2 linked regions of the Cricetulus griseus genome follow. The protein of the gene in region 2 binds, or shares a complex with, the protein of the main gene of each other region. Links are inferred from orthologs where the notes say so. Each region holds a gene or a part of one and is shown on either strand. Other genes may lie near its edges.

The links.
Region 1: the proteins of Kit (region 2) and Socs6 are in contact, whole or in part, in a crystal structure (PDB 2VIF), measured with the Homo sapiens proteins. The link is inferred for Cricetulus griseus from reciprocal best matches to the Homo sapiens genes KIT and SOCS6. Residues at the interface, in NP_000213.1 of Homo sapiens: Asn566, Asn567, Tyr568, Val569, Tyr570, Ile571, Asp572, Pro573, Thr574; in NP_004223.2 of Homo sapiens: Arg391, Glu395, Arg409, Asp410, Ser411, Ser412, Asp413, Ser419, Phe422, Thr428, Leu429, His430, Thr431, Arg432, Phe442, Tyr443, Glu444, Gln445, Val448, His460, Asp464, Ala469, Phe470, Cys471, Tyr472, Ser473, Arg474, Ser475, Arg476, Thr482.

Annotation. Positions count from the first base shown.
Region 1 is NC_048595.1:227,439,816-227,455,337, forward strand, and holds the start of Socs6 (suppressor of cytokine signaling 6), read left to right. Parts: upstream 1-7,064; 5' UTR 7,065-7,250; intron 7,251-13,238; exon of another isoform or gene 13,239-13,362; intron 13,363-15,522. UniProt on the Homo sapiens protein: SOCS family proteins form part of a classical negative feedback system that regulates cytokine signal transduction.
Region 2 is NW_023276807.1:142,118,769-142,133,646, reverse strand, and holds part of Kit (mast/stem cell growth factor receptor Kit), read right to left. Parts: intron 8,337-14,878; coding exon 8,222-8,336; intron 6,609-8,221; coding exon 6,415-6,608; intron 4,973-6,414; coding exon 4,866-4,972; intron 4,774-4,865; coding exon 4,647-4,773; intron 4,372-4,646; coding exon 4,267-4,371; intron 4,168-4,266; coding exon 4,057-4,167; intron 2,532-4,056; coding exon 2,381-2,531; intron 540-2,380; coding exon 448-539; intron 1-447. UniProt on the Homo sapiens protein: Tyrosine-protein kinase that acts as a cell-surface receptor for the cytokine KITLG/SCF and plays an essential role in the regulation of cell survival and proliferation, hematopoiesis, stem cell maintenance, gametogenesis, mast cell development, migration and function, and in melanogenesis.

The sequences.
Region 1 (15,522 bases), on a different chromosome or scaffold from region 2:
GGAAAGGATACCCTCAATCCAGAATTTGATGCAAGTCTCTTGCTGGCACAGATTCAAGAATCCACCACAATTAACAGAATTGTTATGAAGAGGCAATATTCCCTTTGTAAACAGATATTTCACATAAAAATATTAAGAAGAAATGAAGCACACTTGCAGCCTAACCATAAATGACATTCAAGAACAGCCATAATCCTTTATTTCCCAGGGATAAGTCTAGAATTTTCTGGGAAGCTACAAATAGGAATACAAGCTTCATTTACAATAACATGACTTAGCTTCCATGTGCAAACCTTGTGATCTCTAGTTAACCCTACCCCCAGTAATCATCTGAGATGTAACTTCAGAAGTATCCAATTTGTGTATTTGGCTACTGTAAGGCTATGAAGACACTTTAAACTAGCTCCTGCAAGTTGTCCTATCACGTCCACATTTATGTCATGGCAAGTGTGTACACACATGTCTGTGTTTATGCACATACAAGAGAATAAATGGAATAAATGCATGCAATGATAAATATATTCTTAATAAACTCAAGCTCTGCTTCATGCTGACTCATCTTGAAATTCCTTTCTGTGAGCTCCACCTGAGTAAAGTTCTCTGAGAAGAACTCAAAGTGCTGCATCTCTTCTCTGGGCCGCATCTAATGTAATGAAACCCAAAGCTACATCTTGCCTTAGGCGTCTCCCATGATGCGTGAAATATACACATTAGCAAGTTCATTTTTCTCTTGCGGATCTGTCTTTTGCCCATTCTGTAGTAACTAAGAATATATGAGGGTTGAATAAAAGTAATATTTCTTTGCCTATACCACCCTAGGAGTTTGTAACTTTGAATTAGTATCATATGAAAAAATTAAAATAAGAAAAGATTTCATTGCCAACAAAAACCTTGTCCTTCACTAAACTTTATGTGGTGCTCTCCGGGACCCTTTCCCAGCCTGGCTCCATCAGCAAGCCCAGCGTGGCCCAGTCTTAGCATCCCTTCACGTCAGCTTGTGTAGAATTCCCATCATTTATATCTAGTCACTTTTTTGCTATCTGATCAGTTTTCTCAGCCTCCCCTGCCCCAGCTCTGTCCTCTAGGTGATGCCTGGTCTCCCTTGCCTGCCTTTAACAAGGAGCAAGAACAGTTGGCTTAGCTAGAATCCCAGCTGCCGGTGAAGTAATTTTGCATCCACTGCCCACAGATGCTCTGCAGCTGTGTATCCCCAACGACCTAGTAAATACCATGTGTTTGGAATTGAGCCTATACTGTGCTCCCTTTCTGAATAAAACTCACTTACCATTTGCTAATAATATGTGTACCCTCCAAGTTCATATGTTGAAATCCTTCTGATATCAGCAAGTGAAGTGTTGGGAGAGAGATGATGAGACCGGAAGGGGCCTTCTTGAATGGAATTAATGCCCTGATAAAGGAGTCCTCGGGGAGTTCCTCAGCCTTGTCTTTGCACATGGCTCTCCACGAACCAGGAAGTGGTTTCTATGCAACCTTCACTTATTGACATCTTAATCTTGGGCACTGAGCTTTTGGAACTGTGAGCGCTAAATGTTTGTGGCTCATGGACAACATGGTTTACAGTGTTTTGTGATAACTATGCAAACAGACTGACACAGCTTGAATTACAGTTGGCTTCTGACCTTCTTTAACGTAAAACATTAGGCTTTTCTTGTTGTTTGTTTTGTTTTAAGATGGAGTGTCAGTATGTTTCAAAGGCTGATCTTGAACTTCTGGGCTTAAGCAAACCTGCTTCAGCCTTGTGAGTAGCTGAGACTATGGGCAAGAATCCGTAAAACATGATTAAATTTGTCAGAATCTGGTATTTGTAAGTGAGACTTTAAACATGCCTTGAGATAAATAACAAAATATATCTCACAAGTATGTGTTATAAAGTTTGTTAAAGAGTGACTATAAGCAACTCAAAAGTTTGGCAAGCTTGATGACAGTTACTTAATTAGTTCCATATATGATACACAAATAAATTACCCACACAGATTCTCACTCACAAATTGACAATGCTTTTTCTAAGCACATCTGGGAATTTTGCGAACAGAAATAATAAAAAAACCACTATAAAACAAATTTATTGTCAGTCTTTTCTTTCCTACCATGCATTTGCCGTCACTCAAAGCTAGCATTTTCATGTTTATGTCTTAGAAAACAAATGCACTGGCATCATTAAATCATTCATTTATCCAACAATGAATTGCTGTTATCCCCGCCTCACATACTATGTGCCCAGGACTAGGAAGTTCTGAGGAATGGTAAAGCCTCTGTCCTTCTGAATTTGAAGGGCTCAGAACATAATGGTGTTTAATAGGTAATCACGTAAGAAAGCACACAGCTACATTCACAGGAAAGTTTCTATAGGAGTAATATGATAGTTTTAATTTATTAAAGATTTATAATATGCTCACTTTGTGTTAAGTATGCTGTATAATACTTAGTTCTATTACCAACCCTGTGAGATGAGAGCCATTGTAAGTGATGATAGATTTCTACAACCTAACCATGGCCAACAATGTCTGAGGCCTGGATGGTTAGTGCTTGCCTCTGATTTTTGTCAACTTGTATCATCCAGTGTTAGAGAAGATCTGGGTTAGTTTATGGGAGAAAATGATCATATTACTCACTCCCCACCATTCCTTAGGTGCTATGTGACCATTCTGGCCTGCCTGCCTGCCACAAGCATTCTCTTGTGGCTCAGGGCACAATACTCTAAATTTATGACACCTTAATATGCTGTGGACTTTGGACTGAGGGTGTGTGGAAAGGCCCGAGCTCAAGTTATTTCTGCTTTCCCATCTCCTGTCCTATCTCTACCCTCAAATGAACCATAGAAACCAGACTCTGTTCTCATGGTGAGTCACAGAAACTGGAATCTCCCTTCCTCAAAGCAAGCCATAAATGTGAAAAGATTACTTTCTCCCTTCTCCTTGATTCTGGGAAGACCCCTATCCCAGAGGGATAAGTATAAAGGAATGCCACACAGAAAGACTCAAGAAGGGGATAAAAAACAGACCTTTCTCTGGCTTTCTCTGGGTCAGTCTGTTACCCGTACCTCAGTCCTTTTGGCCCAGTCACATTTCTGAATACACAATTCCATCTACTCCTAATGGCACTGAAGCACAGAAATAGTTTTTCTTTGCATCTCTGAGTCCATATCTTGAAGCTTCCCCATGCCATATAAAACCTCAATTAAGTAAACATGTCATGCTTATTGCTTATTGCCCTGATATTTTTTCAACAGAATGTCATCCAGGACCTTTCTCTTTTTAAAAAATTTATTTAGCTTATTTATTTTATGTGCATTAGTGTGATGGTGTCATCAAGGCCTATCTGATATATCCCTCCTCGCCTCTACCTATATCTTCTCTTTTCCTTTCCAAAGCACAGGTATTTTATTGTACTTGAAGAAAATGAAGGACCTTGGATATTTTCTCTCATATGGTCATTGGGGCTCTTAGTGGTATATTTTAATCTCTATTTTGTTTTGCTTTGAATAAAGTTTTATTTTATTTTTTTAATCTTTTTTTTAGCTTTTCTGTATTTGTTTTTCTACTTATGTGCATATGTGTGTATCTGTGTGCAAGTGTAGGCACTCAAGGAGTCTGGAAGATGATGCCAGATTTCCTGGAGCTGGAGTTACAGGCAAATTGTAAGCAACCTGATGTGGTTCTGGAAACTGAACTCAGGGTAGTCTGTCAGAGCAGAGAGTGCTTTTAACTGCTGAGCCAAAGCTCCAGCCCCTCCTTACTACAAAGAAAGCCAGATAGCTACCATGAGAAAGATCTGGATGTATCTTGTGACCCAGAATGTAAGATGTTAGTCACTAAATTAAAATAATAGCCATAGCAACATTAATATCATAGGGCAAGTAATTGTAGAGATAACAGCTTCTAAATATACTGTTGATATCTCTGCTTGGCAGAACCTCAAGCCTCTTGTTGTCTATAGACCTCTCCTTGGCAATCCACCACCCTGCCTGTCTATAACAACTCAGTATTTCTTTGGGTGACATCTTTATCCTACCTACACCCAGTACAGCCAAGATACATGTGCAAATGGGAAATTTCATTTAAATTCTATATGTACATTTTATAGCAACTAATGTTTATTATTTGTAGTTTTAGATAGATAGTTGATAATATGATTCCTTATGACTTTTTCAGATGTCCTTACTGTTATTTTGTCCTCCCCTCCTTCTTCTGTATTTCTCTCTTTTCCTCTCCCTAAATAGAGTTTCCCTCTTTCCCATTCCCTTCTTCAGATGATTTGTACAGTTCTATTCCCCTCTCTAGTGTCTCCCCCAGCCCAATGGTCCCCTTTTACTTTCCTGGTTTCTGTAGTTATTCTAGGTTACATTCGCACGTCTGAAGATTTGGAGCTAGGAGCCCCAGATGAGAGGGAACATTTAACATTTGTCTTTCTGGACATGGGTTACCTCACTCAACATAGTGTTTTCTAGTTCCACCCAAATCTCATGACTTCAGCTTTCTTTTTTTCTTTACAGCTTAATAGTACTCCATAGTGTATATGGACCACATTTTCATTACTCATTCACCAAGTAAAGGGCATTTAAGTTGTTTCCATTTCCTAGTGTATTAGTCAAGTTTCTTTTTGTATTAATTTTTATTTAAAAAACTATTTTTCATTTTACATACCAACCCCAGTTTTTCCTCCCTCCCCTCCCCCCTCTTCCCTCCTTACATCCCCCATCCACTCCTTAGAGGAGGTAAGGCCTTCCTTGGGGAGTCCAAAGTGTGGCATACCAAGCTGAGGGAGGACCAATCTCCCCCCACCCCTGTATCAAGGCTGAGCAAGGTATTCCAGCATAGGAAATGGTCTCTAAAAAGCCAGCTTATGCACCTGGGATAGGTCCTAGTACCAGAGTCACATAACTGTCATTCACTTTCTTTAGTTCAGTGGTTTTCAACCTCCCTAATGTATTGACACTTTAATACAGTTCCTCCCCAACCATAAAACTATTCTGTTACTGTTTCATAACTGTAGTTTTGCTACTGTTACAAATCATAATGTAAATATCTGATGTACAGGATATATGATATGTGACCCCTGTGAAAGGGTCTTTTGATGCTGAAGGGGTTGCAACCCATAGGTTGAGAATCACTGCTCTAGAGTAACAGAACTTACAGAATTAATCTCTCTCTGTATCTAAAACATACATATATATATGGGATTTATTAGAATGACTTATAGGCTGTGGTCCAGCTAATCCAACAATGGCTGACTATGAACGGGAAGTTCAAGAATCTAGAAGTTGCTCAGTCCACATGGCTGGATGCCTCAATTTGTCTTCAGTTGACCCTGGAATCTCAAAGAAGTAGGCTCTAATTCCAGTGAAGGTACAGACTTGCTTGCAGGGCAAGGGTAAACAGGCAAAGAGCAAAGACTTCCTTCTGACATGTCCTTTTATGTGTTTCCTGCAGAAAGCGTGACCCAGATTAAAGGTGTCATCCTACCTTCAAAATCTGGATTAGATCTTCCCACTATTTTGGGGTTCTGATTAATTTCAGATGTAGTCAAGTTGACAACCAAGAATAGCCATCACACCTAGCTATTGTGAATAGAGCAGCAACGAACATGGCAGAGCAAGTATCTATGGAGTAGGTCGTCAAGTTCTTTGGGCAAATGTCAAGGCCAATCAATAACTCCCACTTTTTGAAGGTAGAAACTCATTAAAACTAAGTAACTAGTCTATGTTTATATATTTCTTCAAACTGTCCACGCTGTAACATGGTCCAGGGTCTCGGCCATGTACATTGCTGCTGAGGGCTATTGATGTCTATTGCTTGTTGATAGTTTCCTGCCCCTAAAGCAGATGAGGAAACACCCTTAGCAGGGCTACAGACTGAAAAGCTCCCTTCCACTTAGTCACTATTACTTGCTTTGTAATTTAATTTCAGTCTATGTTCTGTTACTCACTGAAAAACAGATATCTGACTTCAACTTAAGTTGGAGTGGGTTTGGTGGCTCAAGACTAAGGAGGCTATCTTGGGGATGGCCAGAGAGGGAGGGAGATAAGAAAGATAATAAGAAGTGAGTTACATTTCAACCAGGGCACCAGTAGTGATGGTGTTCATTAATCCGTTCAAGTAACACTGCGAATGCCAGTGGTTAGTCTGGTAAACAACACATCGCCAAATGGCAACTGCAATGCCATCCCATTGTAAAAACCGATTTAACACACTTCCTATTACTTACCCAGATTTTGTGTTTAGATGAACATCTTCTACTGAACCTGAATATTTCTAGAAACTAATGTTAATTAAATTTTGAACTTAACTGTTATTTTCTTAAATATTCAATATTTCTTAACATAGTCAATAATACATAACAGGCCTGGAGTTTACACTTGAAGCTCTTTTAAGTCGTCTTCTGTTCCCCAGCCTTATTTCTTTGTATATTTTCTTTTAAAAATGAAACACTTTAAAAGCTCACACTAATTCTAAGATAGATTTTTAACAACATGTATCCCCCCCCTTTCTTGAGATGTTAATATTTTCTTCAACTGCTCACCATTTACAGGAAAAATAAATTCCCATTGGCCTACTTATAAACAGTATCAAATTTTTCTGGGTCTGCTGCACATTAAAAGCATATTGTGTTAATTTGTGAAAAAGAGAGTTAAGTTGCCAAAGCCTAAGTGTATACACACACACACACACACACACACACACACACACACACACACACACACACACACACACACACCTCTATTAATTCCAGGAATTCCACTGAAAATGACTCTACAGAAGGTAGATGACTTGAAAGAAGGGCTAAACCTAGTTTTCTTAGGCTGTCCTTAAGACCAAGCGGGAGTAGGTACGTGGAAGGCTTTCCCACTTGTGGCTCAGCCTGGACAGGAGGCGGCCTTGAAGTCCTGGAGAAGAGAAGAGCATGCTCGCACCCTTTAAGGAGCAATCGCCTCTGAGGACTCAGAACGGCCGGGCTGCCCGCTCTGGAGAGGGGCGGAGCCGCTGGCACCCGCGGTTATGGCCCCGCCCACTGAGTCCCCCCTCACCCCGACGCCCCGCCTACCGGGCTGTGCCGAGGGCGCGGGCGGCCCGGGCTGCTGTGCGGCCGCTCCGCTCCCGCCTGGGCCGCGGCCGCGCGCCCTCCCTTCGGGGAGGAGGAAGAGGAGGAAGGAGGAGCGGCTTGAGGAGGGCCGAGCGCGGCAGTCGCTCCCGCCGCCGCCGCCGGGAGGAAGCGGAGCCGGCGGCCGCAGGGTGAGCGGCGTGGGGCTGGGAGGGAGGGGGGGTGGTGGCGCGGGGTCGCGTGCGGCGGCGGAGGGAGGGGGAGCCAGGCCCCGCCCGCTCGGCCCACGCGGGCCGCGCCGCCTTTGTTGCCCGCGGCGCGGTGTGCGAGGCCGGCTCGGCGAGGCCTGGGCGGCGGGGCCTGCGGGCCGGGCCGGTCGGGGCTCCCGGAGCGGGACCGGGGAATCGTCGCGGCCCGGACGGCCCCGGGGGTGGCGTCCAGGGGACGAGATGCCGAGTGGAGCCGGGACCGGTGGCCGCGCGCGAGGGCCGGCGGAAGGGCCGCGCGCGGGAGGAGGGCCGAGGCATTTAAACTGCCCTGATCCCGCACAGGCCCGCCCGCCTTTGCTCCCGGAGTTGGCAACTTCAGGTACACACACCATTGTGGCTCCTGAGCGCCACTGTTGATGTTTCCCGGGGCAGAGTCTGGCCCCAAACTTGGGAGAGTTGTGTGTACCAACTTAGTGTGTAGTCAGAACGCGATTTGGGGTTCTCATTCGTCCCCACTTTTTTGTAATTGGAGGCCGGTGAGACGGAGGTGGAACTCGGGCTTCCGGTAGGGAGCTAATGTTGAATTCTTGAAGGTCTCACTAAGGCAGCATGCTGCTGCTGCTGTGTGTGCCCGAGGACTGTGCAGTATGCTAATTACAATTATAATGTGAATGGAACACGGGAGAGACCTCCCCAAGTACAGTCTTAATTTATAGTGTTCCCTGGGATAAAGATAAACTTGTAACTGAACAGAGGTAAACTCCTGCCTACGCAAAGGTGAAATACCAGCCATAGTAGGTAGCGGTTTACTTTAAACTCACCAAATCCCACAGTGGAATCCGTGTAGTTTTACTTGAATGAATGAATTTCACTTGGAATTCTCAGTGCTGTGAAGGCAGTGGAAAACACGAGTGGTATTGCTTAAAGGCTTCACGGGTAAAATGCAGAAGAGCTAGCATATAATCTGACTTTTCTGCACTGATTTCTCTCCAGTGCTTCGTGTATGGATGTGGGAAGAAGTTTTAGGGTCTATCCCTGCCTCAGGAAAGTAGGTCATCTTAACCTTTTGGTTCCACCACTCTCCCTAACCCTTGTTTATTTGAGGACATGACTTCTGGACAGTGGGCTTCATGAGGGATGTGGGAGCGTTTATTATGCAGGGTTGGACCAGGTCAAGATCTACCAAGTTATTTACCTGAACCTCTAGCTTCTCTATGGCTCCATTTAGCATCTCTTTAAAGACACTGCTCTTGTTTGCTTTTATCTTTTAAGACATTCTCTGAATTGGTGCCTGGCCCTGCTCCTTTCCCTTCTGACCATGGAACTAAAACACTGTCTCCCTCAGGGAGTCATCCGAGTGCCCTCCCTTGTTAGGACACCTGCAGGGAGTGGCAAGGCAGGGATTTGGGTGCCAGCCGAAGCACAGGGTGTGGTGTGGAAAAGTGCTGCTGTACCAACTGGATTCCAAGCCATTTACCTTTCCATGTTCTTCTCCAGTCTTGCTTTAGAACGGAGACGCTGTTGTTTTTAAGAGCTGTCTTTTCAGAGAACAGAAACCAAGTGCCTTCATGACCTTCTTGTGTAACTTCATCCTTAGAGAAAACTCTGCTATTTTTGCCACTGTGGACAGTTGTAAGAAACTCTGTGTTAGCCTCTTGTTTTGCTTGCAGGGGGTAATTGTGTGATCTTACTTAAAAAGTTCTGAGGTATGCTGAAAGGAGGCAAAGCTTTTATGTCCATTTCTGAGTTCTTGATGGTCACTGTCACTCTCAAGAAAATGTGTTCACAAGAAACAGAATGATACATGTGTGTACGACATTGGTTTTGTGCTGCTTCTCTTCTGACCTCTTGAAGTTACAGAGATAGCATTGATGTCTGAGGGTACCTGCATACTTTTGTAAAATTATCATTTTCATGAGGAATCAGCTTTCTTAACCTGGCTATCTTGTTGATATCTGAATGACTATAAGATTTCACTTTCCAGACTGCACACAGAGGACGTGACAAGTGTTAGGGTGTTCATTCAATAGCACTGTGACCTTGAACAGGCTTTGGATCTTCTGAGTCTTAGTCCTCAAGTGGATCTAAATCCATCTCACAGTTATAGTAAATATATATTTTATTTGAAGTACATCCAAACTCTTAATTGGGCTACAGGGTTTTGCATAGGTTGTTTACACTATGTCTTATACAATAGTCGTACCCTGGCCTTCCATTCCTCAGTATCCCAGGCTGCTTTCCAGAGCCCAGCCCTGATACACTGCTTTTGTTGACTGTCAGTGTCCACCAGTGGCTACTTGTGCGAGAGATTTATTCCTAGGCCTTACAGCCAATGTCCACACCTCAGAGAATCTTCCTAAGTACTTTGAAGTAACAAATTGACACATTTCCTTTAGACATGGTTGTTTAAGTATTCTATTCTCTCCTTTTTGCTCTGTTAGTATCCAGGTTCCATGAGGTAGTATGCCTGCCATGGTCTTTTTTCCCTTTGTGTTCCCAGCACATGGAACTTGGCTACTTTCCCCTTTGTGTCTTTAACATATCCTGTGGAACTTGCACACTGAGCAGGGACCTGGTATTCAAAAAAGTATGTGTAGTTCTCATCACATGACAGAAAGAGGCTTGCTGTGTAGATAGATATTAGGTAGCCTTTGGTATTGTGAGTTGTTTGTCATTGTCCAAGCTGATCTGTTCAAATGAATAAATCAAAACACTAATAAAATAAAAAACCTTGTATTCACATGACTTAAACAGCCCTTCACTGTTTCCCTGTGGAGCCATAACGTGTAAGTTACTCATGAACCAAACCGACTGCCTCACTTTCATAAGTGGTTATTTGTCAGTGTGGAAAGTAACTATTCTGGGGCATATTTCCTCACTGTTCCTTTACATAGCCTAGTGAAGTCAAGCCTCAGTTATCTGGAACCTCTTGGCAGCCTTAGATTTCAGCAGAGAGTCAAGCAAGAAGGAAAAACCAATTTGTAATTAGACATGCCAGACACTTAGACTGATTGCAGCAGTCTTTCTCTGAAATACAAATCTAGATTGAATTTTAACACTTTGATTTTGTATAATTGCTTTTCAAAAAGTTTTATTTGTAAAGTTTCTAAAAGGTGAGATGAAAAATTAAGACAGTGCATGTGACTAGGTTGATGCTTAGAATATAGCAAGTGATAATAGTAATAACTAATTTAAAATGTGCTTGGGCTGGTCAAAAGGAATATGTTGTGGAAGCAGCAATGTCTCTGTGTGATGCAGATATTCTTGCTAAAGAAGGGCAATATGGGAAAAGAGTGTAAGATGCAGTGGTAAGAGAAATGGTCAGGATGCAAAGCAACTGGTAGTATGCAAGTTGCTGGGACATATGTGTGTGTGTGTGGGGGATGGGCACTGGTCACAGTGTGCATGCAGTGGAGCTTGACTGTGGGCTCAGTACTCTTAGATATGTGAGTCCTTTCTGAAGTTCCTTGACATGTGGTTTGAAGCTGTCTTCCTCTTTATAGCCACCACACTAAAGTATTGTCTTAAAATTATTGAAAAGGTTTTGAAGACAGTTTATCCATTTTTCCACAGCCAACTTTTGGACATTAGAGAAGAAAAGAAAGAAATGATGGCATGTAAGAGGTCACTGAGGACCTTTGTGACAGTATGAACTTGTATTTAAACTACCTTCTTACAAAGGCATAGGATTGTGTGGCTCCTATTATATAAAAGATTTTTTAAAGAATTTTAATTTTAATTTACTATGTATACAGTATGCTGTCTGCATATTTGCCTGCATTCCAGAAGTCATCAGATTTCTTTATAGATGTTGTGAGCCACCATGTGGTTGCTGGGATTGAACTCAGGACCTCTGGTAGACCAGCCAGTGCTCTTAACCTCTGAGCCATCTCTCCAGTCCCTAGATAAATTTTTGGGTGTTTTTTTTTTTTGTTTTTTGAGACAGGGTTTCTCTAGCCGTGGAGCCCATCCTGAACTTGCTCAGTAGACCAGGCTGGCCTTGAACTCACAGAGATCTGCCTGTATATGCCTCCCAAGTGCTGGGACTAAAGTTATGTGCCTGATAAAAGGTTTTTTAATAAAGAAATTAATCATTTAGTTTTGATCTTTATAATTCCACAGACAAGCTTGGTTTACTAAGTGCTTCAGAGAGCCAGTCTTTGCTGTTGACCTTATTCAGACCTTAGTGTCAGAAGTGTCAAATAGTTGAATCAACAGGGTTAACACACTGAGATGAAGATACATTCTCATTGGTGGATGTACTACTTTGCATGTGTGTTACTTTCCTTGTGCAAACTTTGTTTTGATATTTATAATACATTATTCTAAAAGTTTAGCTTTGGGTTGTTTTTTGTTTGTCTTTTTTATTTTCTTCAGACAAGGTTTCTCTGTGTAACCTGTCCTGGAATTTACTTTGTAGACTAGGCTGGTCTCCAGCTCACAGAGGTCCACCTGCTTCTGCCTCTTGAATGCTGGGATTAAAGGCATGTGTCACCACGCCCAGCAAGCTTTGTTTTCAATGAGTACTTGTCCTTTGGCATCCCTTTCATTGGGGGAAAAACATATTTAGGGAATAATGTTACTAAATATCACAGACTGGCAAAATTTATAAACAAGAAGGAAGTCTCAGGATTTTTGTGCTTTTATACATCTGTAAAACTGTTGTAATTTCAGGCTACAGGAAGTTCAACAGAGTATAATCAGACTTCATTCTTTTACAGATGTGTAAATAAATAAGTAAATAAATTCAGACATGTGTTTATGCAGTTAGCCTAGTTATATGCCAGTTCTGTAGGGGATTTCAACATGAGATCTCATGCACATAGCTCTTCTTGATATTGATACAAGTGGCTAGGCATTTGTACTTCCATCTTCACGGACAATTGTTTGGTTTTGGCTAGGGGCGATACAGAAGCGGGGACAAAAAGAGCCCACTCGTCAGTCTGGAACTCACACCTGTAGAAACTTCCTGAAAAGTGAGGAGGTAGTACTTTACTGGTTTTGGCTTGTGTGCTAGAAAATGCTTGCTCAAGTATTTGGTTTATAGTTTGGCTGAATTTAAGGTACAGCTTAAATTTACTCAGGAGAAATAGGTTATGTTTCACTGATTAACCCTAAAATCTCAGCTATGAAGGGTAATGGTTGGCTTTTTGCTTTCCTGGATTTTGGAGGGGTGGGATCCTTGTAATTTCTCTTGGATCTGTCAGCTCCTCTGCAATTGCTGTCCTGTGAATCCAGGCAAGTGGAGAATAACAGATTGATGCACTGTTAATCCACTTCCCAGAATCCATCATTTGGTTTTGCAAGAATGCCAGGGAATGTGCAAGATTCAAGGACAGAGCCACTGAACTGTTGGAGGTTTGAAAGCAATGCCATTGACACCTGGCCTTCACTGTTACCTTGGGCCAGCTACCACTTGTTTATAGCAGATCTCTGTCTCTAGAAAGTTTTTGTATTATCTATTAATTACTAAAGCTTCACAGTGGTATGTCTCATCATTATTCTTCTATTCTTAGAATGTAATATTCCATTGATTTTTTTTAACTTAAAAGACTTTAAACTTTGCTTTGCAATTTCTTCCCCCTCCTTTTTGTGATTTTTCTTTTAACCTGGATTGATTTGTTTATTAGTTATTTTCTCATGTCAATCTTTTGGGGGTGTTTTTGTTGTATTTAAATGTTTCACAATGGATTTTGGTTTTCTTACCCTCCTGTACCCCTTTAAAAAAATAACCTTGGACTTGTTTCAAATCTGTGATATTTTCTCAGGCCTGTTTCTTCTTGTCTTCCCTTCTAGAAGGATTGAATTTACTTACTTGTTTTTTCCAGTGCTGGATCTGGACAGCAGGACTTGGCATATACTCGGCTGGTGCACTGTCACTGAGCTGCCACGGTGCTGGGAGCTGCAGCTCAGGCTTGTCTACCCCAGTTAACATTGTTCTCACTGGTCATACTTTCCCTTTGCTTTCAGGGTTCCATTGTGTGGGGGGAATGGTAGTATGCTTGTCAGATTGTTGTCAACTGGACACAAGCTACAGTTATTTGGGAAGAGGAACTCTAAATTGAGAAAATGCCTCCCTGAGGTTTGCCTGTAGGTAAGTCTGTAGTATATTTTCTTGATGAATGATTGATGTGGGAGAGCCCAGCTCTTTCGGGACACTGACAGCTCTGGTCAGGTGATTCTGGTTGACAAAAGAAAGAAGACTGAACAAGCCATGAGGAGCACTGGTAAGCAGTGTTTCTTCATGGCTTCTGTTCAGCTTTTTCATGGTCGTGCCCTGACTTCTCTCTGTGATGATAGACTGTTATCAGAATATGTAATCTAGATAAACCTTTTCTTCCCTAAGATGCTTTTGGTCATAGTGTTTTATCATAGGAATAGAAACCCCGGCCAAGACAGGTAGCAGTTAACATGTATGCTCATTCTTGTTGATAGTGATTTTTGTTGCTGATTGTTGTTTTGAGATAGTTTTGCTGTGTTGCCAAGCAGAAACTTACTATGTTGTCAAAGCTGGCCTCACACCCCCATTCTTGTGCCTCAACCTTTCAAGTGATAGGATTATAGGCCTGTGCCACACATTCTGCTCAAAAACCATACGGTTAATCAATCATGACTTCACACAAAACTAGCAGCTAACTGGCTGCTTCCTCCCTTCCCCATCCCTTTTCTTCCTTGTGTTAAAGCTCAAACTCAGACCTTAGTTATCCAAGTTAGGCAAGCAAATACTTTACCACATTCTGCATCTCCTGCCCAAAGCCTCTTGATCTAAGTTTTAAATTGTATTATTTAGGAGAGGTCAATGTGTGGACATGTCGAGATCAGATGACAACTTATAGGAGTTGGTACTCGGCTTTGACTGTTCGGATTCTGGGGATTGAAACTCAGGTCATCAGACTTGGCAGTGTCAGTATCCCTACCTGTTGATCCAACTCACTAGCCCAATTTAGATCATTTTAGTAAGTGTAGAGACGCCGCTGGGCATGGTGATATATACTTTTATTCCCAGCACTCAGGAGGCAGAGGCAGGCAGATCTCTGTGAGTTCGAGGCCAGCCTGGTCTACAGATCGAATTCCAGGACAGCCATGACAGTTACACAGAGAAATCCTTTCTCTAAAAACTATTCCCCCCCACCAAAAAAAAAAAAAAAAAAAAAAATGGAAAGAGACCTCATCTTTGGGAGTGCTCAGTAATTGATTATTTTAAATAAATTATTAGTTTACAAAGCAAGCAGTCTTTTTGTGAGATTGTTAATTTTATTTTTTATTTATTTATTTTTATTTATTTTATTTTGCCTAATAGGGTTGTATTTAAATGATTATTACTTTATTGATGGATAAAGTTTACACTGGCTCTATGTAGATTTAATAGTAATCTTATGTGAATTACTTTGTATACCTCAAATCTGTTATTCTAAAATCTCATTCTCAATTTAAGTATAATTCAGAAAATACGATTTTTTTTACCACAAAGCTTATAACTTATGGCAGAAATAACAACAAGTATTATATGTTCTATATGCATTTGAATGATGTATTATTTTTTCTTTTCTTTTTGAATTGGAGCTTCTGTGTTAAGATCTGTAGACTACAGCAGTTTGTTACTTTTCTGTCATATTTGTATTTCAGTGTTTCAGAATCTGAGTTAAGTGCCAGGTGGTCATAGTGGCAGTGGTGGTGATTGCGTTTAATCCCAGCACTTGGGAGGCAGAGACAGGCAGATCTCTGAGAGTTCAAGACCAGCCTGGTCTACATAGCTAGTTCCAGTACAGCCAAGGCTATACAGAGAAACCCTGTCTCGGAAGGAAAAAAACAAAAAACAAAAAGAACCTCAGTTAAACTTTTTTACTGTAATAGTTCAGTTCATTGAAGAGATTTTTATTTATGAGCAAATTATATTACATCTCTGGAGAAAATACAAAGTCTTGGACAAATCACCTGGTAGCATTATTTTGCTGTACTACTTCTGCTCTAGAATCAAAACAAGCTGGCAAAATACAGATCTTTGGATTTTATGTAATTGTTCAGTTTGTCCAAAAATCTTAAAGAACATTATCTACTTGACAGCTTAACCAGAAAGGTTGTACTTATTGTAGCAATGGTGAGCATTTTGGAGTATGTGTGATGTTTCAGTTAAAACCATTCTGTTGACATTTATTAAAATGCTAGTTGATTTTAACTTTCAACTGTCAGTTATGACAATGTATCAATGAATCCTGTTAAGTTACATTTATAACAGAGGACAGGCTTTATTATA
Region 2 (14,878 bases):
AGAAACAGTCACAGTACCAGAGGCTAGCAGCTAATGAACAGAGTGTACCCCTGGGCCAATCACCTCCTTAGGGGGGAAGAAAGGTGGATTCTGAATCACAAAGTCAATAGAGTTATCCAATAATCCCCCCATAGGGTTCCAGAATCCTTAGGACAATGGTGGATCCATTTTCAAAATCTAACATCTATAACAGTAAGATATTAGATATAAAAACATGCATTTGTCAGAAACATCTGCTTGTGAGCCCTAACTGCCACTGAGCCCTTGCTTGGCCACAGTAGGTTCTTCCCAGGAATGACGAAGCCATTCCAGTTAGTGGGAAAGAGGCAAAATCCTTGTCCCACATTTCTTCAAACTCCACATGACCCCCAGCCCCTCTCCCTGAGACAAGATGAAAAATAAGGAACATAGTTTGATTGCAGTTCCTGCATGCCAGGTTGCTCCCACCTATTCTTGCCGATCTCCTTTTGTCTGTCTTGGTTGGTACAACATAGGAAACTCCAGGCTTCATGTCCATGTACTCATTGGTACTGTCACTGCTGGAGAGAGGAAACACCTAAGTCAGAACTAAACAGAACTGGAAAGGGGACACAGCACTGACAATGACAGGTCAGGCTACAGTTCTTACCTGGTACGTCATACAGTAGACTAATTTTATGTCAAGAAAAGTAATGCAACCATTGAATGAAGAGTTTCAAAACTAGGTTCTGGGAGAGATGAGTATTTACCGTTCAACATTAAGGTCTGATTTTTCATTCACACTAAGGTCAAATCCTCGGGAGTGTGTTTTTTGTGGGGATCAGGTTAGAAGCTTCCCATCTCCAGCTATAGTGGATTTAATGGGTGCTAAAGAGCCCAAAACTGTTACCTCACATTACTTTAGACTCTAAATTAGCCCTTACTCAGACAAGTGGGGAAGTTAACAAGACACTTCCAAGGCATGTGAGGGGGGGAGATGGTTAAGCGTACAGTGACTGAGGGAAGAAGGTTTTAAAAAAACCAAGTTTGGTTCAGATAAACACCAATAATTTGGATGGTTTTCTAGACCATCTGGACCTCTTGAATCTGCAACATTTGGCTGGAGACTCTTCAAGATTTCTAGTACTTCCTGCCTCTGATTAGCATAGAAACACCATGACAACAACCTCCTTCAGAGCGTGCTGGTGGCTCCAAACCCATATGGGATCCCAAAGCGCAAAGAACATCACACAGGACAGAACAATTCAAGCCATTATTTCAGAAAGTTAAAAAACACATGTAGGGCCCAGGTTCCAGACTTCAGGCAAAGTAGCAAAAGGTGGATTTTGTGACATTTTACTACCACGTCACAGGACTCAAGTTTACAGGACTAAAATGAAAATACAAAGCTTTACTTGGTACTTCAGTGGTGAGAAAAGGTTTTACAAGGTAATTGTCCATCAACATTTACCAGGGTCTCCTTAAAAGTCTAGAATTAAGACTTCAGAGGACAAAATCCTGCCATCTAAAAACAGAGTACAGTTCCTATAGAATTTCATTATTTTAGTTTCTGGTGCTGGGATTCTAAGCCAGGACTTAGAGTAAACATGAAAAGAGGTAAAATCTACCACACAACTGCAGCGGTATAAAATATGAGGGCTAGGGAGTGAATATGGTTTCCATTGGACTGAGTGGACCTTGGAAGACTTTTTCTATGGTGGATCTCAACCACATTTGAGAAGGAGACACAAACCACGGCAGAGATTTCTATTCTGTTTATACATCAAACTAGTTTTTCTCCAAGGAACTTGAAGCTGCATATACATCATTCTTTGCATCATCATCTTTCAAGACCAGTGTCAAAGAGGTGCAGAATTCAAACATTGTTCTTTAATAATGATGTCTTTATAACACAATAAAGTGAGGGGGCATGGCAGGGACACAAAAACAATGCTGATGACAAGAAGTCTATACATATGGAAATATGCTCAGTGCTCTTGGCCATTCTACTCCGTCCCCAAGACTTAACTGTGGCCTCATGACAGGTTTTACCCTCTGCCCTATAAATAATTCTCCTATGAAGATGTCTACAGGCCCAAGCTCAGGAGCATAAATAGAAACACAAGAATGGACCCACAGTAAAAAGAAAACAGGTAGAAAACACATTTGGTTCCACAGAACCCAGGCTTAGGGAAGAACAGAAACACGCATTAAAAGAAATCAGCAACAATCTCAATTTGAATCTTCAAGGGTACTATCTGAACTTTTGAAATAGTGAATCACATTTAAATAATTTAATAATCTGGCTTCACACCTCAGAGTACCTTAGTTCATTTCTTTAAAGAATCAGCCTTGATTGCAAACCCTTATGACCCCACAAACTGCCTGTCAACAGCTGACTATTTATGTAAATCAGCCTTACCAGGAAGTCTCCTTTGAATGCAGGAGGTTCTTATAAAGTGCCGCTTCTGCCTGATCTTCTTGCTTCGAGAAAATAAATGAATCACGTTTTCTTCTCAAAAAATTCAAGAGATCACCATAGCAACAATATTCTGTAATGACCAGGGTGGGCCCTATGAGGATATAATAAAATGTTAGGAAGACGCAAGATACACTATAGATAATCCTGCCTCCTGTAGAAATACCCAAGGGTGACCACGGCTACTAACGTTCTGCTTCAGTGGCTAAGCCTTCTTAGTCCCAACATGATTCTATCTATTAACATCACTTATCAAAGAAAGCAGCATTGTGTTGAGTGAAATAAAACAAGCAAGCCCCTTTCTACCTGGATGTCTAAGTGACACGAACATTAGGAACCAGAAGTGACTGCTGGCTTTGCGGCCACGAGTGACTGCTTTCAAAGGTTCTACCATGATCAAGCTTCCTACAGGGACCCTTTGATGCACTTCTGTGTTCAGCAGGTTTCTGTGTCCTTGCTGTAATGTTATTATGAAAATGAAGAGCCCGAGCTGTAGCCTGGTAGGGAATCAACCACATGGAACAGTCAGCTAAGCTCGGTCTGGAAAGTGGGCGAAGAACCTGAAACGACCCGTTTTGCTGACATTACTAGTTGAAAAGAGAGTTGGTGCTCTGAATGTTTAAAAGCACTGTTCCAAGTTAACAGGGAACTAATTACTGTGGGTAGAAACTGCCTCATGAACAATTCATGACCTGATGAAGCACCAGTTACGGGGGCTGTTTTGAGACACTGTCGAAACCTGTCTGCTGTCTCGTGGCTCTCTCTGGACAGACAGCAACAGCTCAATCCACACACCTTTGTTCCTTTAGAACAAAATGCCTCCTGCAAACATCAAGACGCCCTCAATGGGAACACTGACTAAAGGGTTCGAATTGAAAGCTTCCTTTTTAATGGAAGTGAAAAGCTTGCTCTGTTTGGGGTACATTTGAGAAGTGGGAGGCTCAGGGCTACTTTCTGCTACAGAACATTAACTCCTGAGTGATTAATTATGACCCAGCAATATCTAAAGCTTTAAGATTAGGAAAGCCTTCTGGGTGAGCCAAGCCAGAGAAGAGCCCATGATGATGTAGCATCCATGAGAATAAGTTGCATATACCTGGCTATCCCCCCAACCCTTGGGATGATACAGCCAAAAGCTATATCCCTGTACCTGTTAAAGGGGGAGGGTATTATAATTCAATACATGCATGCAATGTATAATGAGCAAAGGAGGGTGTGAGTGGCTCTATACAAAGAAACATCCTGCGTGTTGCCACACATTTGTGGGAGTTAAGATGTTGATCTGCAGAGAGCTGGATAGAGGTCCTTAGGACTGTCGAGTGGGAGGGGAATGGGAGGCTGAGTAATGGGCACCAAAACACACTTGTGGGGAGTAATCCCAATTTTCTACAACATAGTGTGGCAACTATAGCCCTCATCTCAAAGTAACAAAAGGACAGGAATCTGAAACAAAAAAACGAAAAAACTACATTCTTAGGAATGCTGAGGAAAGGAAAACAGAACAAAATACTGGAAAAAACAACAACAACAACTCCCAAACAGCTTATAATTAAGCACTGTCCAAATCATATTTTGATAGCCCGACAGACAGCAACAGGTGCTGTAGACACAAGACTCACCTCCCACGGTGCATGCTCCAAGGAGATTCACGATATTCATGTGATTGCCCAGGTAGCTCAGGACCTTCAGTTCTGACATGAGGGCCTCTCTTTCCGTTAAATGGGCACTTGCTAAAATGGAAAACAATGTATTTTAGCAAAATGAAGAAAAGAAAAACCCACAAGGCAAACTGGTGGTGGGGGCAGGTAGTGGACGCTCTGGACACTTACGTTTGAGCATCTTCACAGCAACCGTCATGGCAGCATCTGACTTAATCAAGCCATATGCAGTGGCCTCAACAACCTTCCCGAAGGCACCGGCACCCAACGTCTTCCCTTTAGAAAGGAAGACAAGGTCAGCGGAAAGACCCGGTGGACAATTGTGACGGTTCCAAAACCAACAAGGCAACTCAAGGAGAATGAGTCTGGAGAAACTTCACTATAGTCTTCCTTTTGCTAACCCAGCCAACTTTTGTAACATTTGACAGAAGGCACTTCTTGTTTCAGGTGAAACAAGACAAAGGAAGCCACTGAAGGTTCCTTAAAATCATTGTTATGTGTACACACACACCAAAAAAAAGCTACGTGGAAAGCCCCAGCTTCATACTGACCAAAACTCAGTCTGTTTCTGGGAAACTCCCATTTGTGATCATAAGGAAGTTGTGTTGGGTCTATGTAAACATAATTGTTTCCATTTATCTCCTCGACAACCTTCCATTGTACTTCATACATGGGTTTCTGGAGGAGAAAGGGAAAGACATGTCACCGCTTAACAATCAAAGCCTCGGTCATTGCGGCATCCGGGGGAGAGGGAGGAAATCAACAGTCACCTGTAAATATTTGTAGGCGAGAACCATCACAATAATGCCCATCAAGCCAGCTGTGATCACAAAACCAATGAGCAGTGGTGTGAACAGGGTGTGGGGCTGGATTTGCTCTGCAAGGGAAGAGAATTGTGATTGTGAGCCGTTTGCAGGACAACAGCCTGGCCACCACCACCTGTCCCAAACTGAACTTCTCTCATGGCGCATGCAGGGAACACATCTTACTCTTGGTATTCAAACGCATCATTCCTTCCTCTCTTTCTTTCATTATTAATTACTATTATTATTATTATTATTTATTTTACTATGTGCTAGGGATGAAACTTGGGTAAGTGCTCTGACACTGCACCACACTCACACCTCACACCTCACTGGACGTGCAGGCATCTCCAGAGATGTAAGTTAAAACCAGATTACAAAGAAAACGAACTTTCTGTAGCATACACATAATGTTATGCTGTTTCAGTAAAAAGCAACATCTGAATGAACTTCCTTTCTGGGTGCTTTGCATTTTCTTCCTGCTCTCTTATACTTTCTACCCTGAACATCAATGCCTTTGGCAGAGAGGAAAGGCATTTTCGAGGTGTCCTTTTCATTGCTCTGTCTGGGAAAAGTAACAATACAGAGAGCAGTGTTAGGCCTCTGCTCTTCCTTATCCAAAGGCTGAGGTCATGCAGCTTTTTGGCATGAGCCCTATGGCCAATGCTGGACACCACAGAAACTGGGCACTAAAAGCAAACTCAGATGCCCAGTTTCCTTGTCTCATATATGCCCATTCATCAGTGCCTTCAAGGGTCATGTGGCCTGCTAGTCACTCAGGAAGCAGAACCTAAAGAACTGGCTGGACAAGGAGTACAGCCCACAGAAGGCCATCCACATAGCATGCACATGCTCTGTACGATTCTGACAGTGCAGGTGCACAAGCATGTCTACACACACATGTACAAACACACACACAAATAAAATTGGGGAAAAACTATTGGCTGACAAGATATTTTGACACAGATATTTAAGAAAATGTAACTCATCTTAAATAACTAAAGTCATAAATAGAATTTATTTATTTATTTTTACTTATGTTTCTCAAAACAGGGTTTCTCTGTGTAACCCTGGCTGCCCTGGAACTCGCTTTGTAGACCAGGCTGGCCTCAAACTCATGGAGATCCACCAGCCTCTGCCTCCTGAGTGCTGGGCTTAAAGGTTGTGCACCACCCACCACATCCAGTGAATTTAAACTTTTTAAAGTTTCCTAATTATACTTGAGTAGAATGAAGGAAGGTTCCCTTACTCAACTATAACTGCACACATGTAACTTGTCGAGAAGCTCGGACAAACACAAAGAGAACAAGTAAAGCAAAATGGCTAATATTACATTGATAAAATCAAAACTTCATCAGCAGACTAGTATGGAATGAGAGTTTGTGAGTTTGATGACAGCACAGTGTGATGTAGGCATTACCAGAAATGTTATGGCCAATATTGGAATGGAGTTAAGATCATGGTATGGTACACAGAGCCTAAATATCCCCTTAAATTGGATCAAAAGGAAATATACCTTTGTTGTTACCTTTAAATGCAAAGTTAAAGAAGGCGGAACTCTTGCCCACATCGTTGTAGGCCTTACACTCCACTGTGCCGTTGTGCCGCAAGACACTGGAGTCTATGGAACTCTGAACCACTAGTTTTCCAAATGGTGACACAGAAGCGTTCTGGATCTGTACATCCACTGGTGGGACGGGAACGGCACACCTACAATAAGAGATCGACAGTGTGGGCTTATACCAGGAAACCAAATAAAAGCATGTGACACTTTGATCTGGCACATTTGTATGACTAGAAACTCAGGCTCAATAAAAACTCCCTTTCCCAGCCATCAGGTCAGGATGGCCCAAGGAGAATGAGCCCCCTGGGGACCTCTAAGTGAGGAAAGTACTGAAGGAAACCAGAAAGGGAGCAATGGTTTAGAGGTTGGACATGGACCTGTGCCCTGACTCCAAGTGCCCGACCTGGTGACTTTTGCCAGGTTCTGTCAACTCTTCACTGCTAGGTTTCTGTGGCTGTACCATCTCAAGGGTAGGTGAAAGGAATGGACTCAAATGGCTGCTGGCACTAAACGCCACTGTACCACAGACTTTTAGAAACAAATCTGGAAAGCATGAGTGATGGTTGAAGATAAAGTGTGTAGAAGAGGAAATTGCAGGAAATCAACAAGCCTGAAAACAAAACAAAACAAAAAACTCAAAAAGTTAGGTTCGGAGATGGGAGCACATGCCATGTGTGTGATGACCACTCTGGCTGCAAGGATCTCCAGGAAACAGTCTCTGAACACCTCTTTTCCATTGCCTTCTAAACACCTACACATACCAATCAATTGCTCATCTTGTCTGCTATCTCTTCTATGCCCACTAGAATTCAGATACACCCAGGCAGAGATGTGGGTACAGCCGAGCATGGTGTACACTAGACAAGCATCTGGCACACAGTTGGCTTCCATGTAAACATTTTGCTGAGCGCAAGATATCTACTCAGGCCATGTCATGGAAGGCACAGCATTCAGAGGTTTTATGTACCCCCCAAACAAAACATTCTGGTGAAACCCACACCAAAACAACAAGCCAACATCCTAACGTGTTGTCATAAAATGTCTTCCATGTAAAATAAGATTTCCACCGCCATTCTGACTATCCATGAGGCCAAACTAAGCTTTTGAAACTGGAGTATAACACGGTGTTTGATGTGTAAAAATGGCACATTGACCCTGTTTTCATCTTCAGGTAATTCAAGAGGACAATTTAAGGCTTAAGTGTGGACGTCGAGGGAAAGCCACACAATGGCAGATGTTCCTTTTTCAGGGGCTGGGCACCTAATCAAGGAGAAACACTTTTTCAAACCCATTGCTCACAAACGCCATATGTATGTTGTAATTGTGCGATCATTACTTTTGGTTACTTGGCAATTAACTTCTGAGGTAATTTTTTTCATGATAACTGCAGCCACATTTCCCACACACATTGCCTCCTGTGTATAGAATGGAAATCTAATTACTCTGCCCTGGGAAATTGCTTTATCTACCTGCAGGCTAGAAATTGCACGATAAACCCAAAAAGATAACTACCAAAATAGAGAAGGCATTCAGTAATCATTTTTCAGCAAACAAAATTAATGTCGACCAAGAAAAATATAGCCATTATCCCTTCTTAAAAAGCCACAAAGATATAGGAGAAAAAGAAATTATCAAAATGCAGCTTTTTATTCTAAAAAAAATATAAATAAATAGTAAGTCTGAAAACACATTTGAAATGCAATTGAATTATAGCCCTTCCCTTCTGAATTTTAAGCAGTGCCAAAAATAATCCTCTCACCTTTGCTCTGTTCCCGTACAAAAATACCAATCTATTGTGGGCTCTGGGAATCCCGCTGCCACACACTGGAGCATACCATTCGCGAGCCTGTCAGACGTCAGGATTTCTGGCTTTGCTGCAGGAAGAGAAATAGCTATGTCAGTCTGCTAAACAACCCTGATGATTGTCTCATTCTTTCTTATACCATCCCTAGATCCTTCCAGAGGCCACTGAGGAACCTGACTTGCTGCTCACCCAAACTAGTGATGGAAGACATCTGAAGGTGGTTGGAGGGCTCAGGAGGTACACTGTCCAGCCCTGCATGGACCCCTATCTACCTGAAGGCATAGGGATCCTGAAGAACTCTACATACCACAGGCTGCCAAGACCAACCTGGCTGGTTTCTGCTTCAGGTCAAAAATCAGCATTCTCAACTAGATTCCTTGACAATAGGAGTTCAAGTCACTCTACCTGCCCAGACACGTCATGTTAAATTATGGACACTGGAATGGCTGAAATCAGGAATTGTTGCAAAAAAATAGAAGCTACATTCTCCTTTTAGGAAGTGCAAGAGATGGTGCTGATAAGAGGTGGATTGCTATACTTACAGGAAAGCTAAAACTGGATAGTGAATGGCAGTACGAGCATCTAAACCTTTATTTCACACAACACTTGGACAGAAAACAGGAAGAAACCTGCCACGACGTTTTGTTCATACATATTATCTATAGCCTGAGAGTAATCAGCAAAAACATAAATTATACCAGCAGGAAGACTAATTTGACAGTCCTGTGTAACTACAATAATCAATTGATATTCAACAATTTCAAATTCTTGAAATTATTTCTCAAGTGAAAGGAAGATGAACTTGTACGGCACAGTTCTGATAGCATCATACTTGAAGGCTTCCAGCCCTTTGAGGGTGAACCAGTTAACAGTCAGCATCATGCAGGTAGAGATGGCCACCTGAACCACTGGAGACTTCAGAAGCAGCAAGGCAGGGATGTAATGGACAGTGCAAACTGATTACGCTTCCAAATCCCCCTCTTGACTCTACTTCTTCATTTATAGAAAGGGAACAATGGTGACCATCTTGCAGGGTGTTGAGTAAATGTGACGGAGCATGCAAAGAACTAAGAATGAAGGCTGTTGAGATGTCCCAGCAGGTAAAGAAGATTGCCACCAATCCTGACTATCTAAGTTTGGTTCCTGGGATCCACAGTTGTGGTACTCACAGTCTTACCTTCACAAGCATGCTGTGGCACATGGCACACACTGCAGCCCCCCAAAGACACACATATATGCAAATGTCATAAATATCTCTTAAAGAACCAAGAATGACATACAGGCATGTAATAATGCATTAATAATAATAATAATAATAATAATTATTATTATTATTATTATTGTTATTATTATTACTGATTTGGTTGTTTTCTATTGGACTACTATGCTCCCCAAATAAGCAAGCTGGCTATGATTAAGTGGACAATATTTACCACCCTTCATTCTCCCTTTAATGTTCTGAAAATTTCTGCTTTAAGACAGTGTGACAGTGTGACAGTGTGTGTGTGTGTACGCACGCGAGCATGTGTTTTAACCGGAAGTAGTGGAATTTCAACATCAATTACATGCAAACTAATAAGAGCAATAGATGAGAGACGCAAAGACTGGCAGGTCAGAAGCTGAAGGACTTCATTTTCCCAAAGGCAGTAGCAATGTTGAATGACATCTCTGAGAGTCATTGCTCAGCACGCCACCTCCTTGGAAGCAAGATGGGTTGGCAGGGATCAGTGTCCACATGCATGACACACCCACCTGTCACTCAACCTGTTCCTGCTGATGGCAGGACATTTGGCAAATACCACAAAAAGAGCCACTACCCTCCCAAAGCCATCCTCAAGGTAGAAGCACCCTTGAGAATTTGGATCTAATGCCAGATTTCACAAATAGAGCAAGAAGACGAGCCATCGTCTTGCAAAAGCATCCATCTGGCAAGTTTCATTTAATTATCACAGGCAACCGTAGGATCAGGTCAAAAAGTAGGACATAAAACAACAGTGAACTCTTAGGAGAATGCTATTTTGCTGGAAACTGCAGTAGCCATACGGTGAGTCTCTCTGGACTCAGCTCAAGAAGTCACTACCACTTGTAAGGAACCCCACACTTCTCCCAAGCCAAGTTGGTTGGTCTCTATCCCTGATCCTGGGGCCCTAAGGAGCACCGGACTTTGTTTTTCAAGCTCATGCTTCACCTCCTCCATCAGACTCTCAATGGCAAGAGCTGCATGTTAGACTAGGGTGTAGGTCTGGTGGCAGTAGACACCCAATAAGAGCTGGTGAATGAATTTGAGACCACCCAAGGGAATTAGTGTTCAATACCACAAGGAGATAACTGGGAGAGTAGCCAAACTGTGGCTTTCCTGACCAGGAGACCTAGTACCCTTATTCATAAAACAGAGAAGCAAGAGACAGGAAATCTACATGCATGCCTAGACATGGAGTTTAAAAATCTGACACTAACAAGTGAGTAGGGAAGTCCACAGAGAGGTGGTAGAGATGGCGTGATTCAAACATCTCAAGTTCATTGGCTGGACCTTCTTCTTTTGTCACTCACCATTGCTTGGGTCCATCATGTCCTAAGATGGGCTTTTCTTGGGTTGGTACAATAGAGAAATAATTCCTCAATACTGAAAGGATACCCTGTGGCATTAATAATGATAGCCTCTGGCTATCAGGCTTATGGATTGTTTCTACTTTTCTCTTCTAACCTTTTTCATCATACAGTGAGCATGGAGCCAAAAATGAATGTATAAAACCTTTTTAATTAAAAAACTGGAACAGCTCAAGCACGCACCATCAATTATTCTTTGCTTCAGTGACAAGTGTTCTCTAAGATCCAAGCCTTCTAGCATGACACCTGGTAGCAGTTACATAATGGCTGGCCCAGGCCAGAGTGTTGTGCTCTGGCTGGCCTACTTGCTCCTGTGTTGGTTAACTGAGTAGGTTTTTTGTTGTTTCTTTTTGAAAGCTACTATCCCAGGTGGGTCATTACCTGAGGCTAGCTGAATTGCTTTTGCCCTGTTGGGCCTCAGAGGGTACTAAACCTTAGATATGCATTAGATTTTCTGAGAAGACTCCTGCTCCAAACCCCAGCTTCTGGAAACTGAAGATATGACCCAGCATTTTATGTGGTTTTGTTGTTTTTGTCGTTTTTTTGGTTTTTTAAACAAAGTACCTTAAAGGAACTCAAGGAAAGCCAGGATTAGAAGGGGCCAGAGAAGTGGCCCTGCGTGCCACAGTTCAGAATCACTAACCCTTAAGATGCATGTGGGGACCTGTGAGTGTCTCCTACAATTTTGTTCTCTTACTTAATCTTAGTCCCAGCCCTGTCCTCAACACTGGAGGTGTGATACCTCATTCTGAGAAGACTAAGTCACACCGGTCCAGTGTGGGCTGTCCATGGCAGGTTGTAGTAGGAAAATGTTTAATGCATAAAGAATGAGCTAGGTAAAACTGATTCCTAAAATGAAAATCTGAGCTTATCTGCATTTTATAAGTGGCTCAATGCACCATGTATGGCATTAAATATGCATTTCACTGCTAAAGATACATAACTCTGCAATTCTCCAGGTTAAGTCAGACTATGGTTTCTTAGACATTCTGAAAATAGGATATCAAATGACACATTCCCTAATTCCTCCCAAGTTGGGGTTTTTGATAAGCCTAAGAAGTGTCTAAGTTACATGTTTCCTGTGCAGATTTTTTTTTAAATAGCTTTTTCCATTTGAAAAACACCGTAGGCTTAAGCCATCCGGCGTCCCCAACAACAATGATCAGCTCGTAGGCAGTCATTTGTTAATGTAATATGAGAATTTGTTGCTCATGCAATTAAAATCCTAAACACTGTTTTACCCTGCAGATTGGTGATTTGAAAAATATTCTTCTCACCACCATTAGGCTTATGTGGAAAGCAAGAACAAAATTAATTTTAAGAATGCAGTACATATAACAAGAGCTGGCAGCAAGCACTGGAAGGCTCCAGGCACACAGAAGGGAGCTGGGGAGACTCATCTTCCATTCATGTCCTGCAGGGAAGTGGTTCTGAGTAGAGTTCTTCTCTGGCCCTGCCTACCTTAACCAGTCCCCATGCCCAATACAATCTGCCTGTACTATATAATCAGCCGGAGAGAGGACAGACTCAGGTCTCCAAAGAATAAAAGACCAAATGGGGGAGTGGTCATCAAGAAGGATTTCTGTTTTGTAACCCTGGGATTGCTGGGGCGGAATGGTGTTGCGGTGGCCATTTTTAACAATCTGTCACCATTCTAGTTGGGTCTGAATAGAAGCTACATTCCTGTCATAATATTGTTATAATGAGAGGGAATGTAAACCAGCTCAAACAGGAATATAAAATAACTAGAGTTGATTTTTTTAAGAAATTACAGACATCCTTAGAATAGATATTTTGTAAATATATTTTGTCCCTTCTTAAATATATATATATATAATATATATATATATATATATATATATATATATGGTATTTTGGCCTGGTTTCATCTAGCCCAGGCTGACTTCAAACTCTCTGTGCAGCCAAAGATGACCTTGCTAATCCTCCTGCCTCCACCTTCAGAGTGCTGAAATTATAGGGGTACACCACCACCCTCTTTTATGTTGGGTTCAAACCCAGAGCACCTCCATGCATGCTAAGCAAGCTCTATAAACTGATCTACCAGCCCCCATATAGGCATTTTAAAAAGAAATTTGTCCAACAAACAAAAACAAAAGCTTCAACCCTAGTCTCCTATGCCCATATATTTTAAACACAAAACCCATTTTAACAACAAAATGCTACTTTAATGAAGTAGTATCCCCAACTAGATTATGAGTTTTATTCTTCATTTTATTCAAAACTCTTCTGGCCTTTTTAACTACTTAAAATTGTTTTTCTTAATCCTTTGGCTGCTCAAACCCAGTGACTGTGCGCTCGTGGACTTTTCTGAATCCCTGTTCTAAAAAGCATTCAGAAAGAGCCCCTGGGGGCTAGGGAGATGGCTCAGTGGGAAAGTGCTTGCTATGCAGCAGCAAGGAAAATGTAATGACTGTTGTTCGGACCCCAGGCACCTACTGGTGGCCCACCTATAATCTCAGTACTTGGAAGCCATAATAGGGCTTTGGTGGTTACCTAGGCTAGCTGAATCAGTAAGCTCAAGGTTCAAGTGAGAGACCTTGCTTTAACAAATAAGTGTTCAATCTCTTCCCCCTACACACACTTGTCCACTGGCATATGCAAACACACGGGAACATGTAAACACACATGCTTGATGCCTCATATACAATTCAAACAAACAAAAAAACCCTCCTAGTTTCAAAGATGGAATCCCCAAATAATGTCTCTACTTGGAGAAAGCCTGCTTTAGTCAGACTCATTAAGCTCAATTCATGGATCCTCAGTAGTCCAGATATGAGCCGGGGACCTGAACAACCCTCAGAGAGCTATGCAGGCTGCCAGATGTGAGCCGGGGAGCTGAACACCCATCACAGAGCTATGTGGGCTGCCAGGATGCACAGGCGCAGGCTGAAATGTCATTTTTCTACTCTGCAAAGTAGGTAATTCATTTTGCCACATAATTCAGAAGATATTGACATAATGCCCACAGAAAAATTATGTACCTATTCTTGGATTAATTTAAATTCCCACTGAATTAGAGGCCACCCTGCATGCATTTATAAGTGAACAAGGCTAATTTGATGTAAAAACACACCTGGCTCAAATGAAAAGGAAATTTTCACACAGCAGAAGGTCCACAATATAAAAGGACTACTCATGCTGCTGTCAGGAAGAGTCGGGGGGCAATATCATCAAAGTTTACAGTCACATACTGAACCCATTTCTTTGTTTTTCCATCATTTAATTAAAAAATAAAAAAATAAATGATTAGACCACAGGAGCCATATAAGTAACAGAGAGGCAGGAAGGTGGCTGCATTTTCTAAGAGGTTTGGCATTCACACAGACACTCCAGTTATGTATGTGTCACACATACCCTTCCCCAAGACTGATTATCTTATGAGAGATGAAAGAAAGTGATGATGGTGGCAACACTGGAGCCAAGAACCATGTTTAGAAGTGCATCTATTGCTGTCTTTTTCCAGAGTAAGAGAGATTCAAGTTCTACGTTAATGGCTCGTTTCCATATCTGTTTCCCTCCAATTTCAACATTCATAACCATTCTAGTATCTAGAGATTCTCTTTCTCTTTAGAGACTTTATAATGTCAAATCAAGGGACTAGCAGGATGGCTCAGTGGGTAAGGCACTTGCCTCCAAGGCTGACAACCCGAGTTCTAGTCCCTAGGATCCACATGGTGGAAGGAGAGAACGACTCCCTCAAACTGTCCTCTGATTTACAATCACACTGCAGCATGGATGGACGTGTATGGGGTGGAGGGGTGGGGGGGTGGGGGTGTGCCTGGGCACAATGCAAAAACAAGTGTTCAAAAAATGTCATGTCAAAATAATACTAAGATTCAATAAAAACAGATACAAGAACTGCCAGATCTCAAATACATGTATGAAGTCTACAAATAGATTAATGTGAAAAGACCGGCAACTATTTTTACATAGATTAACTACCATACTAAAGACAACCTGAGAGTTAGTCCTTAATTTAGAATA